Neodiprion lecontei: one gene and its partner. The protein of the gene in region 2 binds, or shares a complex with, the protein of the main gene of each other region. Links are inferred from orthologs where the notes say so. Each region holds a gene or a part of one and is shown on either strand. Other genes may lie near its edges.

What was found. The genes of interacting proteins can lie anywhere in the genome.
Region 1: the proteins of queuine tRNA-ribosyltransferase accessory subunit 2 (region 2) and queuine tRNA-ribosyltransferase catalytic subunit are in contact, whole or in part, in a crystal structure (PDB 7OVS), measured with the Mus musculus proteins. The link is inferred for Neodiprion lecontei from reciprocal best matches to the Homo sapiens genes QTRT2 and QTRT1. Residues at the interface, in NP_001343258.1 of Mus musculus: Arg39, Thr40, Gly41, Ser42, Ala43, Pro44, His45, Leu46, Thr47, His48, Gln49, Thr50, Asn53, Glu70, His71, Glu73, Val74, Glu77, Tyr78, Phe85, Ile86, Gly87, Phe119, Gln342, Glu343, Phe345, Tyr355, Asn359, His360, Ala363; in NP_068688.2 of Mus musculus: Thr50, Thr53, Met54, Lys55, Gly56, Ile57, Thr58, Thr59, Glu60, Gln61, Ser64, Arg80, Pro81, Leu85, Lys88, Ala89, Phe95, Met96, Asn97, Ala307, Lys308, Phe310, Pro320, Thr324, His325, Ala328, Phe329, Ala332, Leu333, His335.

Annotation. Positions count from the first base shown.
Region 1 is NC_060264.1:15,984,475-15,995,150, forward strand, and holds the start of queuine tRNA-ribosyltransferase catalytic subunit, read right to left. Parts: upstream 5,862-10,676; 5' UTR 5,821-5,861; coding exon 5,680-5,820; intron 4,421-5,679; coding exon 4,331-4,420; intron 4,209-4,330; coding exon 4,055-4,208; intron 2,605-4,054; coding exon 2,472-2,604; intron 1,939-2,471; coding exon 1,777-1,938; intron 1,663-1,776; coding exon 1,494-1,662; intron 1-1,493. Other genes in the region: DNA polymerase alpha catalytic subunit, read left to right, coding at 8,287-8,302.
Region 2 is NC_060261.1:4,132,129-4,142,459, forward strand, and holds queuine tRNA-ribosyltransferase accessory subunit 2, read left to right. Parts: upstream 1-6,367; 5' UTR 6,368-6,524; exon of another isoform or gene 6,525-6,622; 5' UTR 6,623-6,692; coding exon 6,693-6,809; intron 6,810-6,943; coding exon 6,944-7,090; intron 7,091-7,179; coding exon 7,180-7,644; exon of another isoform or gene 7,645-7,724; coding exon 7,725-7,924; exon of another isoform or gene 7,925-7,999; coding exon 8,000-8,125; exon of another isoform or gene 8,126-8,204; coding exon 8,205-8,328; 3' UTR 8,329-8,367; downstream 8,368-10,331. Other genes in the region: ZZ-type zinc finger-containing protein 3, read right to left, coding at 8,491-8,742, 8,836-8,961, 9,018-9,259, 9,367-9,400. UniProt on the Homo sapiens protein: Non-catalytic subunit of the queuine tRNA-ribosyltransferase (TGT) that catalyzes the base-exchange of a guanine (G) residue with queuine (Q) at position 34 (anticodon wobble position) in tRNAs with GU(N) anticodons (tRNA-Asp, -Asn, -His and -Tyr), resulting in the hypermodified nucleoside queuosine (7-(((4,5-cis-dihydroxy-2-cyclopenten-1-yl)amino)methyl)-7-deazaguanosine).

The sequences.
Region 1 (10,676 bases), on a different chromosome or scaffold from region 2:
ATAATAATAACCTTTATTTATTACAATTTTATTTCTAAACAAGGAAGAAAGGAGAATAGTAAAGCAGGTTGACAGTCGCAATAGAAACACCTGCATTGGCATGAGGGATAAGGGAAACTCCCGAAAACTTTGTCCAGGTGTAGCCGGACCCGAGTCCAAATCACCAACCAGCAACTCAGCGCCTGAATGGCGACCCGTCTTAAATTTTTGCAAGTTGCCATTCAGAGCCTTATTGGCAGGCCGGGGACTTGAACCCATGTCTTCCCACTCCGTAGACTCTGGTGCTAGCACCTAAGCTACTACGATCAGTGGTACATAGTGTTTCGCTGAAATGATAGATGCAGCAATTCAAAGGGAACCCACAGGATGTAACAAGATAACGTGCACGTGGGCCCGATACTAAAAACTAACGTATGATCTAATTCACTTATAGATGAGATTGATGTTCGTGACCGTGTAGATAGTCTACAGATTCAATTTAGTTGGGTGACAGTCAGGGATAAAATGATGCAATTATAACAATCAGCTATGTTTTTTCAAAATGACGTTCCGGCAGGACCCCTCCTACCATCATCAGGTTTCTTTAATGTAAAATCAATCCCAATTTTTACATGAGAATTTTTAGTGTTTACAAATTTACTAATGTACATAAATGCCACTGTTTATTGTTTAACCTTATTATTGAAACTAATGTGAAAAACTGAATTGTTCAAATCTTACATATATCGACATTCCTAAACGTTTGCGATGTTTGTTGCATGATATTCGAGAAGGAAGTGACTACCCACCTACCTATACCGATAGGACTGTTATCTTAATATTTATTTCAACAACTATGTTTGAACAGTAAGAAACCTGATGATGGTAGGTGGGGTCCTGCCGAAACGTCGTTTTGAAAAAAACATAACTGATTGCTATAATTGCATCATTTCATCTCTGACCGTCACCTAACTGAATTGAATCTGTAGAATTCACTGATACTAAGTCATTCGATATTGCTAGTGTGGAGAAAGAAAAACGTTAGACCAACATGTATTTCTATTCATTCTTGTGAGCTAAAGTTTTAATTTATCTTTAATAACGTTATGGCTGCACCTTAACATTTCCAGCAAATTCAGACGTTGGTTGAAAGTCGTGATAGCGGTGGAAACATGGTTTTTTTCATTGCGACTGTTTTTTCGATTGATCGCGTTGCTAATTGTTCTATTGATTAATTTTCCAAAGAATGGACTGATCAAGAATTTTGTTTCACTGTTCTTTCAATTAATCAAATAACTGGTCTCTTCCACTAATATTTTTACGACTAATCCATTGATCTGTTCTTTCAATTAATTGTTTTTCGGATGGAACAATGGATGGAAGTCTACGATTAATCGCACAGCCCTACTTCATAAAAAAAAAAGATGTTTTTGTGATTTTATTCCACAACCTTTCATGAAAATAACGTCTGCGGTAATAATTCACCTAATTTGAAACATAAAAATTTCAATTACCGCTGTTCTGGTTGGAAAGACACAGTCGAACATATCCACTCCCAAAGCGCAGCATACGACTAAATCAACAGCAAATCCAACCCCCATTAAATACCTTGGTTTATCGACCGGTAGAACATTGGTTGACAAATGTACCATTCTCCAAAAATCATTCTTGCTTTCTCCACCACTGAAAATAACCATCAGATCAGACAAATAGTTACACATCACAACTACTAAACATCGCATATCTTATTTAGTAGTGTCGATAATTATCGACAATAAGCAATATATCCAAAATCACCTCAAACCTCCTATGGCAAAACCATTGACTTGCCGCTGTGTCAACAATTTAGCACTCTCTGTTCTGAGCTGTGGATCCAGTCCGCCTTGAACAATAGGAAAAATATTTTGCTCATCAGATTTCTGATGAGCCAAAAGGCACCTGTCTACCCATCTTGTGGTTCTAATGAGTGCAGAGAGAAAAAAGAATTTTATTATTCAGTGGCAGTATTGAAAGTCGGTTGGATTATGGTGGAATAATTTTTATTCCCAACTCAACTGTGATGGGCACTTTATTGACCTAAAAATTGAGACAAAAGTAGAATTTGACATACTTTTTTCCCGCATCTGCGGAAGAAAAGTTCTTATTCCCCACATTTGTAGAAACAAAGTTTTTATTTTCCGCTCATTTGCGGGAAAAAAGTAGCACTTTTGTTTAATGGGGACCACTTTTTAAGTGAATAAAGTGGCCACAGTTATCGAGAATAAAATCCTGTATGCAACACCGGAATAAAACTGATTATTTCCTTGGGTGATTATTGTCTGCGCTTTGCTCAGGCAGGACACCCAGCCTCAGGAATAATCTTTGACTTTATTCCCTTATCACCTAATGTTACTATCTCTCAAACAGATTCTAGTCCAGCATCTGCAACTATTTTTTCTCCAATTATCGTGGACAGCAGGAAACAATAGTTTTTTTTTGCTCAAGTGAATTACCTATGCATTGCCTCTTCAACTCGAGGCCCGGTTACTTTTGCATGGACCACATCATCCAGCTGCATTATGATATCTGCACCAATTGTGTTTTGTATCTCAATTGAGTGTTCCGGTGTCAACACACATTCAGATCCTGAAAACAACTTACACAACAAAGAATTAAGGAATATCGCACCAATTCTAAATACTAAAAAATGTGGAGTACTTGATTCACAGAAAATAATTTCTTTCAGCTCTAGGGAATATACTGTCTAAGCAAATGTTCTGAATGAGCGATGATATATTTGTAGCTAAGAATAGAATTTTTTTTCTTTTCATTAATTTATTAGATCGTGTGTGAAAATTGAAAATTGTTCAGGTTAACACTCAATCTTTGCAAGGAATTTGAAAAGGTGATTTATAGTAACGAAAATGAGAAGTTCTTCATCGCGAACTTCATTGAGTTTTATTATACTTTTAATCAGTGATAATAGTACACTTGGCCAAGTGGATTTCACTCTAAAATGTTAAACCAATTTCAAATTAAATTTGCAATGTACATCTGCATATGACACTTGGTCAGAAAAACCAGGACAAAGTAAAAACATGTTAATAATCAGAGGATTAACTCCGCATTTACTACTTATATGTGAACGTTTCTGTTAACTTCAGTATATTACCGAATTCAGAGAGTAAAATTTGAGAAAGTTTCAAAAGTGGAAGCGAGCAAGCATACTGCAAGAACGTAACATTTAAGAATTCAATACTAATATTTGTTTTAGTGCTTATTATTAGCTTGTGAAATTTTAAAGAATATTATTCTCATTTTATTCTGATCCAATAAATGCTACGTCATTTTTTCATGCAAATTAGTTGCATAATGATAACAATAATAATTATCATTCCAGTCTCGCCATGCTCTTTCGGATATGTCTTCATAAATGAATAGCTTTTGTGGGGTGTAGTAAGGATGGACTAGTGACAATCATTATGCGTCCGCAGCTGTCTTAAGATGTTTAATAGGAACACCTGCATTCGCACAAGGGACAAAGAAAACTGCAGAAAACCTCACCTGGGTATAGCCAGACTGAGTTCAAACCTCAGCTTACCGATTTGGCACCTGAACGACGCGACATATGTCACATTTTTTGTGAGCTGCCGCTCAGATCCTCCTCGACATGCCAGGGATTTGAACTCAGCTCCGCCAGTTTCACAGTCTCGCATGCTACGCTACTACGGTTGGTTCTACATTGGCTACTACATTGGCATAAACAGGAATGATAATAACAAATGCACAAATTTTGATTATTTTTAGAATATTTTCATGCTGGGATTAATATTTGGCAGAAATAGCTGTTTTAAATTTAAGAAAAAGCTACAGCTGTGGCTGATCGGACATTTTTTGGTGGAGATAGCCTTTAGCAAAATTTTTCAGAACTTTACTGTTACCTTAAGAATCTTCCAATTTCTCCTGATTATGTCGTATTTTAGAGCTTGACACAACATTGATAATCTAAAAATTTAACTACTGGACAACTGATTGGTGTGATAATTGATCAACTTAAATCGGCAACAGATTTTAGCGATGATTAGGTATATATTACCGTCATAGGGAGAACGGAACGTTACACCCTCTTCAGTGATATGTGCGAGTTGAAGTAAAGAGACCATTTGAAATCCACCTGAATCAGTGAGAAGAGCTCTTTTCCAATTCATAAATTGGTGCAAGCCACCTGCCATTTGCAAAATAGTTGTACCCTTAAACATTTAAATATGTAATTAACAGGTGACCAGAATTAATGGAATCATAAATCACGAAATTATCATTTCAAATCATGTAGAAATGATTGAAGAAAATTCTTGGACAAAGTTCAACTAACTGGTCTTGTTCCGAGGTGATACGTATTTCCGAGAATTATTTGACAGTCCAATTTTTCCAACTGCTGAGGCAGCAGCCCCTTCAGGGTTCCCTGTAAAAAAGATTGCTAAAAATATTGTAAACTATGCATTTATATTTCAAGGGCACAATCTTGTTTTCTACATGTTTCATAGGTTCGTTACGCCCGATCAAATTAGCTAATGATGGAATGTTATTTCTAAACATTTGAGGAACTGAAATGTCCTTTTAGTTTGCGATATGCTGATTAGTAATAATGATACAAACAAGAAACGTTAAACATTTTGTGTTACATATGCAATCATGATATTATTAATGTAGCTATGAGATCCAAAATGCTTCAATAGTTTGAGATCGGTTGGCAAAAAATCAAAACTTTTTATTAGATTTATTATGAAATGCTCGTACACTACGTGTTTATTAAATTATATTAAATGGAAACTATAGAGATATTGTCAAAAATACAAACATAGTAAATACCAGAATTATGCATAAAAGCTTAAATATCCATGCCTCGTTTCAAATCTCTTCATAAAATAGTTAAAAAACGTAGAACAACTATTTAATTTCATACTACATTGCCAGATTTTTACTATAAAGCCTCTGAAACAAATTTACTTCTTCTCAGTAATTAATTCAATATTGGCATTTGTTGATCATAGGGTGTGTTCGTGTTACCTACATTTTCTATACTTTTTATGTATGTCATTTTATTGACATATTTCGCATTCATACTTTTCAGGCAAAGTCGCATGGACGTATATTGCTTGGAAAGAATGGGTTACCAACACGAAGCATGGTTTTTACATAGCATACTGCGGCCTATTACACGAGTTTTTAATAACGAATTTTCTAGACTTTTTATATTTTCGTGTGAGGATACTATCACTGTATATTTCAAAAGTGTAGAAAGTGTAGCTAACACGACAAGTCAATAATCAATATCGATGCTTTCAATGTAAAATCAATGCAAAAAGTGTCACAGTAAATCGGAGAAAGTGTTCTTAATAACATGCAACATCGTGAAGTGAAATCGAACAAATACACTAGATTTTTAACGACTTTGAAGCAGTTTGAAATGAAGCATCGAGATCTGAGCTTTCATTTATATTAATTCCAGTATTTTTTCTTTGTGTATTTTTAACGAGGGATCTCTACAGCCTGCTAATATAATAATTTCACGAATACACAACGTACGATCATCCCGTAATATAGTTCTTCAAGATACGAACCTCCTTAACCAAATCTGTCAGAATTGTGTATCTGTCAAAAACTAGCTAACCTAACTACTTGTATTGTACCAGTACATGGCGTGACTTTTGTAGCCTCTACCTGAGTGCCAACCGGCATAAATACCGGAGTGTCAACATCGTGATGCGGTAGAATCATTAATCCAGTTCGAGCTTTCGAAGTTGAACATGTTTCTGCAATTTTAAAAGTCAAAGGGACTCGGCATGGCTGTTTGCGGTCCATGGCGTAATACTGTGCACAGGAGGTTCGTAAAGTTAGCAACCGAAGTCAAGATAATCAACTGAAAGTAGTTTAGATCGTTTGCGCGTGCCTTGAATATGAGGAATATCACTCGCTCTCGTTTGGGCGGTCATTCGTTTTTGGGAAAAATTTAAGTAAAGTTAGGATGCTGAATTTCAGCACCCGGATTTTGAAAATGATATCATGCGAAAGACTAATAGAATTTCAGATACATTGTGGTGCCAATCGTTTGCGCGTCGTTTGCGCAACCAGCAGCACGAAATAATTTAGCAGAAAATATGAAAAATGACCAGTAAAAGAATTATTTTCTCTAATATACCCGGAAATGAACACGGGTAACTAACAAAATAATGAAGTAGATATAAATATTGCGAGAGGTATTGCACTAGGTCTTGAATTAATTCAAGCAATATGTTTATTCTCACTTTCAGACGCTACCGATTTAGCAGTTTTTTGCTCTTCGGTTATACATCCGGATTTTTCCTTCAGAATTGCTGACATTTTTCACACAGTTAATTAAAATTTGATTTTTCATTGGGCTCGCTAGATGATGCTTATGATGCTTAGGATGTTTTACGCATCCTCTCGATGCATTGTTGGGAAGAACCGAAGAATCGTATTGTTATGATGCTTTCTGAATTTCTCTGGTAAGCTGAGCAATGATTGGCTGTTGCAAGATTCTCTTACGCGGCAGCACTGGCAGCACTGCTGGCTTATCCTGTACAAGGTCCCTAGATTAGACAGGTCAAGACACGTGTGTTCCAGTTTTTCTCACTATAACGTGGGCAAAAATGTTCTATGCGCGTTCGCCCAAAAAATATCAAATTTACATTACCGCATTAACCAGTTTTGACCAATCTTGCTCAATTTTTTGAGGTTCAGCATTAACGAGTTGCGCCCTTCGTGTCCTGACGTTCACGAAATAAATAGAAGCACGTATATATTTTGAGGTTAATCATTGTGACAGGTCAGGAATCAGAACCACACCGGGTGCTTTCCATTTAGAGCACAGTGTGACACAGTGTACAAATTTCTATTGTAAGCGGCCAACCCGGGCAAAGAAATAGACCAGAAATGTTTACACCGTGTCATATTGTGCTCTAAATGGAAACCATCTATTGTCATACGAAACTTTTGGCGCATTCTCACTAATTATTTTGACCATGCGTGTCTTGACCTGTCTAATCTAGGGACCTTGATCCTGTACATATAGGCCGTGTTCGAAAATTGACTGACAGTACTGTCGGCAATCTTTTATCTCTTTTGCCCTTCCAAGTTCGTGAATAGCTCTGATTCTGTCCTAGGGAATTTTCAGTACTGTCAGTCAATTTACGAACACGGCCATAGGGTGCTATTTCGGCCGTGTTCGAAAATTGACTGACAGTACTGTCAGCCATCTTTCACCTATTTTGCGCTGCCGAGTTCATGAACAGCTCTGTCTCTGTCCTAGGGAATTTTTAGTACTGGCAGTCAATTTACGAACACGGCCTTCATGAGCAGTAAAAAGCAGCAGTGGTTTAGTAACTTAGTAGTTTTCACTAGCATCAGTCTGGTAATTTTACGCAGCAGCAGCGCTGCTCATGAAATAGGTCGACTGTTCTTGTGATCTTGTGGCTTGTCGCTCGAAAAACTAAACTGCGAGCAGCAGAAACTTGCGCCGGAAGTGATAGGGGAAAACTGCTGCTGCTGCTGCCTTTTACTGCTCATGAAATAGCACCCATATACGTTGGGTGCTTTCCATTTACTGACTCAAGTCGACTTGTGTCGCTATTTCTGGTGTATTCCTTTGCCCAGATTGGCCGGTTACACCAGAAATAGCGACACAAGTCGATTTGAGTCAGTAAATGGAAGGCACCCATACATGTTCTAACCAGAGAGAAACCTTTATAAGGTCCTCCGTCAACGACTTGAATTCTCTAGCTAAATTTGTTTTAGTAATAACGACTAAACCATTGACTATCAGACATGGGAATACATCATCAAACATCAACAAACGACCAACAAAGAATTAAAAAGAAATCAATTTATTTGGGTGTCAATGACGGCCTAAGTATAGGTATAATATTGACCTGTTTTCTACCTGCTTCTCTTATTAGTTTTAACTTGACCCGTCAGGAGGCAGATCTTTCTTTTTCCATCTTAACAGTGTAATGAGTGTTGGTAGTATTCTTACCATCTTTTTCAGTGGTTGGCACCTTGCGGCAATTTTCCCGCTAATTTTACTGTAGTAGGTTGTGAAATTTTGTTTACACGTCGGTGCAGTTGCTCGGCTCTTAGCAGCCACGTGTTTTATAAATCATATTTTCTGCTTCCCTCCTGATCTGTGGTGTAGATTATGATTTTATGATCTTCTTATTCGCTCCATAGAACGCAGAGTGTTCCGTTGTGGAGTGTTAGTGTTAGCTTTATGACGTTTGGATTGTTCGTTTGTTTCGCTCTTACATCAGCATGGATGAACCTGCATGTAAGTCTTTCTAATTTAACGTGCATTTTTCAATGTCAAGTCGTATTCCCTCGACAAATAATCCATTTTAAAATTATTGGCTTGACGAAGATCTATAGATATCCTAAAACCTTATTATTGTCAATCTCGATATCGTCACATATCCATTGCATTCTTTGTCACGATTAATGTCACCGGTGTCACCTGTTATAACTCGCCCCATACTAGCTTAGAGACCACTGCGATACCATCGGATTATGTGAGATTGAAACTCGTAACGTCAATGTGACCATGCGATTTTGATAATTGCTATTTCGCAATTTGAGGATGGTCTGAAATCCGGTAAACTGTAATGGAGCATCAATTCACTCATGTTTTGCCCATTCAAGTCCTTCAAAGATATACCGAAGCTATAGAATGGTAATTTTTCTTTCGACATTATTTGGTTATCCAAATGTTACAAATTTCGGTCTCATATGCAAGTTATGGTCAGCTTTTGTGAAGATCTGCAGTTTGATAACTGTGGAAATACGTAACCTTATGTACATAGTAAAGGGGATGCATTACTGATCCTACAAACTTTTTCTAAAAATACAATATTTTGACCACTAATAAATTTCTAACGAAATGAGTTTTTACCATGCTGTTTGAATCGACTGTATTCCGTATCTTGTATCTACCAATTATTAGTCCTACTAATATCGAGATTTTTTTTTCATAACCTGCATTATACAACTGCTCTACTAAATACAAATTTCAAAATTATTATAATAGCATAAGGGCACGAGGTCGAAGTTAGTCATGTTATCGTGATGAAACATTGAGACAAAAGTTAATATTTTACTATTTCAAAATAACTTCTAAAGGAATTAAGTTTCCAAAATATGAAAAAGTTTTGCTTCAATGCGGCTTATGAATTCCTGGGAAATGCTCAGGTTATGAAATAATAGTTTTTCTTTTAAATGCTTCGTTAAGTTAGGAATTTAATCCCATGATGAAAAATGATTGTACAGAACAATTGATTTGTCATCACAGACCAAGTATCGGGTAATACGATTTTAAAAAAACTATTGGCCATAGAACGACAAAAGAAACTCCAATTCATTAAAATGTAATCCACTTTCGCTGGTTTACAAATTGTTGAACCAATTATTTCACAAACAAATACTCAAGCTGTGTTACTCCAAGTTGCAACTCGAAACACCACCTTGGATTAATTATTTTCAAGGTTTCTGTGATACTTTAAATTTTACTTAAAGGAATGCCGGACACATGTAACGTATTTGCATTGCTGAAGAACGTTAACAATTATTTTCGTTTTTTTCAGTAGGGTAGATGCGCCGATAGTTGGTCATCTTTGCATACCGTAATTTTCAACACACAATTTATGTATTGGGGGCACAAATTAATTCGGTCCGTTCTCAAAAGATGGATCTATAAACGTGGCTCTAAAAACATTCAATTTTTAAGTAGTAACAGCTGATTGCCCTGGTTTTAGACAAATTGGACACCTGCCGATAACATCCAGTTTGTATTGTTGTGAGTTTCATATAAAACGTTTTTTGTTACGCTGTTGAAAATGTCACTTTTTTTGATAACTGAACACCATTTGTGGGAAGTTTTAATTTTTTGTTTTAATTGGAAAAAAAGTTCAGCTAAAGCTCATCGTATGCTTGTGAAAGTTTACGGTGACAATGCTCCAACTGACAAGTCACGTAGAGAATGGTTTTGGCGCTTCAAAAGTGGTGATTTCAGCGTTGAAGATAGACCTCGCTCGGGACAGCTGAAATTCGTAGACGATGAATTACAGGCATTACTCAATGAAGATCCGAGTCAAACGCAAAACGAGACTATAATTACTTCGTTTGAACCGTGCATTACGAGAAAAACGACCGGAATATAAGGAAAGACATGATAAAGTTTTTTGCATGACAACGCTCGGCCTCATGTCGCAAAAGTTGTCAAAAAATATTTAGAAACGAACAAATGGGATTTCTTACCGCACGCGCCACATTCTCCGGACATTACTCCTTCTGACTACGGACTGTTTCGACGGATGCAACACGATTTGGCAGGTCACCGCTTCACTTGTTTCGAAGAAATCGAAAATTGGCTTCAAAATTGGGATTGCCGCAAAAGACGAGAAGTTTTTCTTACACGGGATTCCGAAATTGCCTGAGAGGTGGGGAAAAGTTGTAAGCAGTGATGGACAATATTTTGATTAATTTGTTAATTCATTATCTTTTGAAATAAATGCATTTTTTGAGCGAAAAAAACGGACCGAAATAATTTGTTCCTCCAATATAACTATACAATATGAATTTAAATAATGATGAATGGAATGATCAGGCGGCTTTCTTCAAGTTCAAGGCTTTCGATGTGCAATCAAACAAGT
Region 2 (10,331 bases):
AAATGTAATAATATTATTCTCAAGTATCAATTTGATTTTCTTACTCCATTTAGACGATGAAAATAAGAATAATTTAAAAATATGAAGTTACTTGAACTTGGTCCGACGACTACACCTGGGCAAGGTTTTCTGCAGTTTTCTCTTGTCCCTCGTGCAAATGCGCATGGTTGTATTGAACATCTCAAGACGGCTGCAGCCGCAATTCTAAATCATGAAAATAACGAATAATCGCAGTTTGTCTCGGAATGACTTTCAAACGGAAGCTCAAATCGTAAAATATTAGTTTTTTTCCACAACCCTGTATCTGATTATGAGTGAATAACCGTGGCTTACCACGAATGCGGTATATAATTATTCAAACTATAAGTACCGTACCGTTACTTGTGTGAGAGGAATTTTCACGAGAAAAAAAAAAAAAAAAAAAAAAAAAACGTCAGATTTTGTATAACTTGTATGTGCGGTATGTAATAAAGAACATTTCAGTTAAAATGAAAACGTATAATTTCACAAAATCAACTGATCGATGCTGACCCAGTATCTGCAGTTCTGTTCATTGAAAATAAGTTCAGAGGTACGACAAATTTGATATGTTCACCTGATAACTCGATTGGAGAGGTAAACTGATCACTTATGGAGACGCGAGTAACAAGATAGAGGGACGGAGAGTTTCCATTTGTTGATATGGATAAAAGATGCTTCAGTTCTAGGGAAATCATCTAACGAAGAAGCAGCAAGTTTCATTCTTAAACGTCTTACTTGTAGAATTCCACTTAACGCTTTGACGTAAAAATTCCGAGTTTCAAGACTGTTTGTGGTAAATCCAAATCTGGTGGGAGCCAAGTGTAAAAATAGAATTTTGGAAGGAGCGCTGATTGAGATCTATGAAGCTTAGTTGAAGTTTAAAAACAATTTATGAAAAAAAAAAAACGTACATTTTTCGCTATAGACCATCATTATTCCTTGACTTTTACCGGCAGGCAAAATTTCCTGATTATTCCCGATTTTCCCGATCGGTAGTTTTAACATTAAAACATTTATAATCAATAAATCACCAAGTGTTATTTCACCTTCGAAATCCACATTTACTTCAATTACTTCAATCAAGAATCCTCTATTCCGGTTGTTCTTGAACGCAAAAAAGGATGTCGAACACCTTACAGCTCGGGAATAAACTACCCTCAAGTTGTTGCGACAGGAAGGAAAATCGTTCAATTTTTCTACAATTATCTGCTCAAGATAGAATATTTAACATCATGAGTTTTGCTGAACATTAAACGTACCAAACGATAATATTTTAAATTGCAACAATTTTATAAAAACTGTAAACAATTAATGTAATAGAAAACTTCTTCCTCTAATCTCTAATCTTCAAATCAAGGCTTGCCCTGCTAAATATTATTGTTGAATACTTTTTCAACAACGAGTACGTCACAGAATTCGGTACCAGTAACCTTGACTGGAAAAAAAAAAAATTGTACCAAATCTGTCTGGCCCGATGTTGTTGTTGGTTTTTTTTTTCTTTTCTTTTTTTTCTTTCTTTTTCACTTTTTCTTATTTTTCTTTCTCTGGGCAACGGTAAGTTAGTGATAACAAATATTCTCGCAATAATAGTTCATGAAAATGACCCTTGACATTTGAAGAACTGATTTGTCTTAAAGCCTAAGGAAAAATAATTATTCACAGGTTGATGGGTCACGTTTTAATCGCGTTACAAATAAATAGAATTAGTTGATTACCTTGATTATACAGTTATATACTCTAGTTCACTCAATGAACATGAGGTTAAATTTAATTCTTTGTAATGAGAAAATTAAGAAATGCAAATTGAAAACTTTTGACCAGAAAATGCGAATTTCTGAACACGCAAGTACCTAATCTATTTAGGCCGTTTACTCAGAGAAGATTGTGTAAAATCTGATCCAAAGAAGATAGTAACAGTTAAAGACTTCCCAAGACAACAAAACGCAAAGAATATAAAATAATTTCTAGAATTTATTGGCAATTACAGACGCTTTGTACCAAATTTTTCCAAAATAGTAAAACCTTTAGACAGGATTTTTCACGTAATCGCGGGATAAATTGTGAGAAAATGCAATACTTCAATATCTTTCTTTCACCATACCTTTTATACTAACGACGGATGCATCAAGATTCGTCATATAAGGAGGCGTATTAAGTCAGGGTCCAGTAGGAAAAGATTTGCCGGTAGAATACAAAATATGTAACCAGATTACAAGATCAACGAAAGAGAAGTTACTAAACAGTTGAAAACGAATTACTGGCAATAGCTTATGCGGTAAATTTGAAAGTAATTGCTTGGGCTTAGGCTTATAAAATAAAATTGGGATATTCTGCAAAGAAAGTAGAATATAATATTGAAAGTGATCTGTAGAATGAAATTTAAATTATACAACTACCCTGTGAACTTGACTCACAATCAATCAATTAAATAACTTGGAATTACCGTTTTACTGTTATTTAGATCTTAAACAGCTATAAAAAAAAATTTACTTGCAGAATCAGAAACAAAAGTAAGTATTGGCACGTGATAAAAGCGACCTGGAGAAGCACCTGTAACCCAAATACATGCAAACTCACCAATGCTGCCAAGTAATGGAGTAGTCATTCGGATGTCTTCGCTTAACTCTGTAACAAATAAAGATACAAGCTCGAATTAATTTAGCGAATTTTTATATTGTGGATGTTTGATGCTGATATTCATCATTATTATTGTCCGCTTCCATGCTCATTCACTTTACGTCACGGAAGGATAAAAATTCAGCTCCAAATTTACCACCTTGATTCATCAACCATTATTTGAATAAGTATTATTCTCACCTTTTCTGACTTGGTCCGCACTTCAGATACGAAATAATCCTGGTGGCATTTACGGTTTAACGATGAAGCTCCACACTTTAGATGAAAAAGTTCTCGTAGCATTTGCTGTTGAACGATGAAGCGACGTACTTTCGACACTGGAATGAGAGTATAAAAGAATATTACTCAAAACAATATACTTGAATCAGATTTCACGTCACTTTATAGACTATCTGTGTTGATTTAAATTTTTTTTAAATAACATTTAAATAGTTTCAGATGTAGTAATAAATAAACTACAGAAACTATTGATAGAAGGCGAATAGAATAAACAAAAATAATAAAGAAATGCATAAATCTGGTAGGCAACATTTCATATCAGTCAAGCATGACGGCTATAATCATTTGCAATGAAAAATGAAATTGTAATTCAAAATCAAGTATGATTTCAAACGAATGTACCTGTTTTTTTTTTTTTGTTCTTGCAATAACGTTGTGACCTATGCAGCTTCTGTACTTTGTTTTCCAAGATTTTTTGCTAGGTTCACCCAACTGAGATATTCACCAGCCCCGAACGATCGACCTGCAGTTTAATGCTGCAGTCGGGTAAAAAAACAAATCACTATGTTAATATTTCGTGTTCATCGACATCCCAATACTCAGGGTTGATAATTGATTTTATAAGTCTTGATAAATAAATTAAACCATCTTTCAAATTTCAAATAATAAAACTTAATCAAGTACGAAAGGTTTTCGGTAGCTATCAACTTGCGAGAGAAATATTCGAATACGATAGTGATAGTTTACAACATCTAACATAATCAAGAGATAATTAAACAAATTGAATTGCGATAGCTAATTTACGAAGTAATTGTTGATGAGAAATTAAACATAGTTAAATTAAGATGCTTGAAATTCAAGATATAATTAATAGAACAAATTTTATAGAGAGTTTACGAGAGAAGGGCAGCGAAGATACTAGAAAGTATGCGGAGTAAGCCTTGCTCACAACAGAATTGAAGACAACAAAGCGAGATTTGAATTTACAAAAACACAGTATAACAATGACATAAGAAACTTATTTTAATCGCTTGCAGGACAACTGAAAGGTACGGCGACCTCAACTAAACTCATAACTCGAAGAAGGTCGATTTAATATTACAATGTCATAAATAGAAAATAAAATAACCACAACCGGTGCTTTTAGAAGAACCGGCTAAAGCCACAGCGCGATGTAAACAGCGGTCACCTCTACGATGAAAAAGTTGATCATGTTATGTGGCGTGCAAAATCCGTTGTTTACATCGGAATATACGGGCATATACCGGCATCGAACATTCTAGATGTTTTTCATCCACGTCTAATACATGTATAATCCACGTAAGAAATGACTTTTGTTAAATCAGTGACCACGTTATTTCGAAAATCATTGCAATATGTATTGAGAAAATTATATATTGAAATTAGTAACGTTATGTCGTAACGATTCATGGTGAGGAAAATCCGTTATTTCGCGATTTTTGAATTGTCTGAAAATCGATGAACCGTAATAAAACAAAACCCACTTATATTTCGAATTCTTAGTTCCTTAAAAATCATTGTAAAATTAAGAAAATTGTGATTTTTTTCAGCAATGTTTCGTTAGAATAACGTTACAACTTCAACCTCGTTCGAAAAAGCAGTACTTGAACGAAGTAAACGGTTTTTCCGATGCCTTTTTGTTTCTTTTATTATCAATGAATATAGAGCGTTTTTGTTCGTTGAAAATCGATACTTTTACTTTGGACTGCAGCTGTTTTATGAAAAATCAATATTTCATTACTTCCTCCGTTCAAGCACTACACAATTTTATGCAAAAACTGCTAGTTTGACATTTTTACGTTGAACGATTTGTTTCCGGGCAGCATGCGATCATCGCAAAAGACGTTTTCCAAACAATAATCCGCACAAACTATTATATCTAACACATTTATAAATATCTTTCATCGGAAAGAAAAAATTGTAAAAGGTACCCAAAACCGTACTCGTTCATGTAAGAAGTAAAAATTTTAGCTGCGAGGTCGCTCGGAAATTCAAAAGCATCACAGGACGCAACCAAAGAAAATACGGTACAGAAGATACGAGAGAAAGATATGAGCAGCTTTGCAACTTTAGCATACAGTAAAAAACCAAAAGCCTTACCTTAGCCGATGATTCGAGCACTCACTGATTCGAATGTGAAATAAACTTGTCAGTAGCAAAAGAAAACGGTAGAAAAGGTAAGAGGACGAAAAGGAAACGAAGGTAAAACGATAGAGCAAAAGGTAAAAGTTACGGTAAAATCGATAGTGAAGAAGGTAACAAAAGGAAAAGGTAGGAAGAATTAAGCAGGAGGGAATTTTCTAGATCAACGAGTTGCACGGAATTAACGCAACGTGTTGACTCTGGGCTTGTCGAACGAAGATTAAGAAGAATACGAACCACGAGGAGGGCCGAAATTCGTTCCGCCGATCTCGCCGCTGTCATCCGATTGCATCCGATGATCCTTCTTCCTCCTGATTGGTTGTTGTTTCCCGTCGTGAATATCCGATCATCCCCCTCGACGCGCGAATCAATTACGAATACACGTGTTACGAAAATTTCCGCTAGATGTGGCGCGATGTTTGTCCTTTAACGTCGTCATATTGCTCATTTTTCGCACACAGCCTTTCTGTATGCAGCCGCTACTCCCGACTGGCCGGCTGGTTGCCTGTCATTAGGAACTTTTGACGAAATTATGCAGATGATATCTATGACCACAGGATTCTGACTGGAGAATGACAGCATTGAAGGGGTATTCCGATGTGGACATTTTTTATTTTCCATATTTTTTTCCACTAAATGCTATCCAACCGGTCATGTTAACTTTTTAACACGTTACTATAAACACCTACACTCCTGTTCCTGATAGATATACGTATTTTGGTCATCGCCCAGCCGATCAATGCTCAATTTTATACGTTGAAATTTGAAATCTTCGTGATTGTTTCACACTGTGCATTTCGAAAGTTAATAACGTTGCGGTACATCGCGACTTTCCTACCATCGTTTGATTCCCGACGAATCAACCAACGACATTGTTGAAAAGAGATACCCATACGCACATGCTCGAATCCTGCGGCTGATCCCGAGACGCCCACCTATATTCTTCGTCATCTATATTCGGTCTAAGCGATCTAATCCGAACACATTCTACTAGCACTTACGATATCTTATTTTATTTTGATGAACGACCCGTGGATTATAGTTCATTTTCTGCCAGCTGAATTCAATTTGGATTCGTTCAGAAGGTGATAAAAAAAATTGTTTTGGGTATGGCAATGATGAGGGTTGTTATGATTATTAATACGGTCGATAAAGAATTACCATACAAAACCGGTGGATTAATAGTTCCCGCCGATAAAGCAGCTACCGGATCGTTAACACGGCTTCTAGCGACCCCAGTCGCCCAGGTCCACTTACCCGCCAAGTACTGGTCACGAAAATCTGCAGAGGAGTCAGTCTTTGAGTTTTACTGTCAACGGTTAATTTCACACACCGCCATGCGAAACAACGTCGATGGTTAAACGTCACTATTTGAGGTTACGTCGTGTTCTCAATTCGCAGCGCTATGAGTATACCACGTACCCATGAGTCAGGGAAGAATATTAACTGACTAATAAAATCAGCGTCACTTGACAGCCACAGAAGTATTTAACACGTTGAACTATTAGTGTTATTGGTCACGTCGAAAAAATCATAGAAATTGACGCATGTTCCTTTCTAACCTACTAAAACAATGACGTAGTTTCAGAATGGTACTAATAACCTTCCAATAACCTGTTGTGCTCTGTATTACATGAAGTACGCAAAGCATAATGAAGTTTATGCCAGAATTGTTTACACAATCTTCAGCTCGGCTTGGCACACTGTCAGAATTAGAGAGAACACCTGATGTGGTATTGGAAACACCACTATTAATGCTTTACACAAAGGTTTCCTCTTTCTTTAAATTTACTTGTCAAATTTATCTCTATTATAATCTTTCAGTCAAATTTCAATGTAAGCGAAGACTATACTCATTATTAAAATTTATTTTTTATACAACAATATTTACAAATAATTTCAGCGTGGTAGCGTTCCACATATTACCAAAGAGGTACTAGAAATGATTACGCCAGAAAAACTGTTACTAACAATGTCACTGCCTACCACATTCGACATGACCGATCCAGTCCGACAATTTAAATCAATTGCAGATTTTGTGGGATTGAAGGTAAAGTTTAAATTATAACATAAATTAAAGGCTAAGATTTCAAAAGATGCGTTGTGTATATGCTCCTTCGTAATGATATTATTATTCAGGAATATCCTGTATTTCTTACAATGGAAGATCCGGCACAACCCACTGTTTCTGGCTACAATGACGAAGACACTATTGCAGTGTGGACCAGACATGGAAAGCAGATAATTAACGCAGATGGTTATATGGATATAGTCGAGGCATTTAGGCCAGACTTTTATCTGGCACTATACGACAGCGATACCCACTCTGGTAGCAGTTCCAAGAGAATCACAAAATCTGTAGACCGCAGTATAAAAATGCTTGATAAGTGTTTAACCAGGCATAAGGCGTCTGAAGTCGTAAGAAATAAAGGCATTTTTGGCGCCGTTGGCGGCGGATACAACACAACGGCTAGAGAAATGAGCATAAAAAATTTAGAAGGCAAAGATTTGGCTGGATATGTTATTGACGGGTTACACAATAACGGGCCAGAAACTGAAAAGATCCCTTTCCAGTTTGTGGAAGATATCGTCAAACACACGATTGTTGGTACATCATCAAAAAAATGCACTACTCAGCTTCTTGAATATTCTATTTTCCAACCTGATCGCATTATTTCTTTCAGAGCTTATTACCACAGGACAAAATGCGTGTCACGATGGGTGCCTGGAACCCCGTAACTGTAATAAATCTTATCAAACTAGGAGTGGATTTATTCGATTCTTCTTATCCCTATCTCGTCACCGAACGATCATGTGCACTCACATTTTTATACCATCATTCTGAAACCGGCGAATCGCCTATGATATCGATATCAGAAAAACGGTAATTTACATTCTCTGTGCATCTATATTTTGAATTGAACAAAACAGTATCTGATTTACTTTTTAATTGTTCAAGGTATGCGGATGATTTCACACCTATTTGCAAAGATTGCAAGTGTTTGACATGTTTGAATCATACGAGAGCGTATCTGCATCACTTGTATCAGACCAAAGAACTCTTGGGCGCAGTTCTCTTAATGATGTAAGTAAAATGAAGAGCATTTTTCTTAGCAATATTTTGAGGGCAATTTATACTTCTACCGAACTTTTTCAAATTTCAGACATAACATACACCATTACCTAGAATATTTCAAGGAGATACGAAACAGTTTACGGAACGGCACTTTTCGGGAACTAGAAACCAAAATTTATGTGATATTTGCTAAAAATGATTCAGCAAACTAAAATTTGTGTATAGTATCAATAAAACCATTTTTTCTAACACTTGGTCGTTTTCTGATTTGATAACATCTCCCAATACGCGAAATTATTCAATGATTGTGCATTAAAACGAAGCAAGTTGTTTTGCACTTATACTTCGTGCTGATTTAAAAATATAAAATAGAATTATTCAGGCAGAAAATTAGGATCTAGGTAATTGTACGATGAATTACTGAAGTTTTGTGGAAAATAATCCGTGTCGTAGCTTCTATTTGACTGAGATGGTCGAACAGCACATAATTTGTGTAACGGGGAATGCATTGGCGTTTCAGACTCCAATTGTGCGACAGCACAATCTCCACAGAGATTCGTTTTACCTTGACAATCTTCGCAATGCCATCGGGTTCCCTTCAGAGGCTCTTCTTCGCACAATGAACACTGCAAAGAATGACATTAAATTCATTAGCAAGAATGAAGTGCATAATCGTGATTTTCATTATTTGGACGCGAAATTAATGTTAAGTGACTTACTTTGTATCCAACATGCTGATAAGCCTGCAACTGTTCATCTTCTTTTTCTGCTTTGACTTGTCGAAGCAACTGAATATGTCTCAACTCTACAGTATCCTCAGTGGTTCCATTTCCACCATCATCTTCCTGAACAGAGTGCAAGATTCAGAACTCGATAAAACGTTGAGAGTTAGAAGACTTACCGAGTCCTCCGTCACCGACATATCGCGCATATCGTCGCCAATGTTGAAAGACATGTCCTGATGTGGAAAAAACGTGGAGGGTCTAAACAACAAATAATTATTTCGTTGGTGTCTGTGATTCAAACTTCTTTTAACATCCAATTTAACTTTTGGTCCTCTTCCGGGAATTGGAAGTCCAGCTCTGAGTAGCTTGATAAAATATTTTTGTACACGGCTTGAGACTTGCTTAGGCGTTCGGTTACCTGTAATATAGCAAGTCTCACATTTAGCAATGTTATAATAACAAAGAGTAAAGTTCAATTAATTATGGAATGATCTCACATCAGTTGTAGAATGAAAAAACATTTACCAAGTGCATTGGCAATTTTGGTCCAACGGCGCATTTCTACTTCTTCAGGCGGATATTCGACCAAAAGTTCCTCTAAACGTCGCTGTTCTTCTGTTGTCCATAGCTGGTTGAATGTCTCAGGTTTTGTTTGGTCAAATGCTCGGCCTCGTACAAGAACCTGAAGTAGAGATACATTGCATTTAAAAGAAAAAATGAAATTACAATAGAACTAATACAATATTAGAGCAAGTAAAGATTAGTTTGCGGATTGTAAAAATCGTCATTTATGTGTCATAGCGCAATAAGAAAAATACTTTTCCATCGTCAGGTTCGCTTTTTATTTGAAGTTGAGGAAGAATCGGTCCATGCCGAGTTTGTGGTCGCATAGAGCTATCGGGTAATACTATATTATACTGAGTCCAATCAATGTAGGGAATTTCAGCAATTTTTTGTGGCCCAGGAAGCTCGAGAAGATCGCCATCCTGTAGTCTGGCGACGAAAGATATGGGATCCGTTACCGCAACTGCTTGGATTTCTAATAATTTATCCAAGTCAGCGATTCCTTGGGTTCTCTGAGCCTCTAGTATTACAATTGTTTTTAAAAGTGCTGTATAATCTTTATTCCCCTTTAGTGCCAGGTGATCGGATTCAAAGTAATATTCCCCATCCTCGGCCTCGGAGTTTCGCACCTCTTCGTCATCCATTATTCTGCTTGTAGAAGAAGTTCTAAGGAAAAAAGAGGATTTATATTAGACTAAATTTTCATAGGCAATAGAAACCGTTCAAACACTTACAATTTGTAAGAATATGTCAACAATAAGTTGGACACTATGTCCAGACTTGTCATTATTGTCAAATATAAATGAGAATAAAACAATCTCACTCTCACAACCTTGTTACCTCCTGACGATATCCGAAATTTTTCACACGATAAACAATCCTTAAGGCACGGTAAACTTTTAAGCATACCAATAAACGCAAGTAAC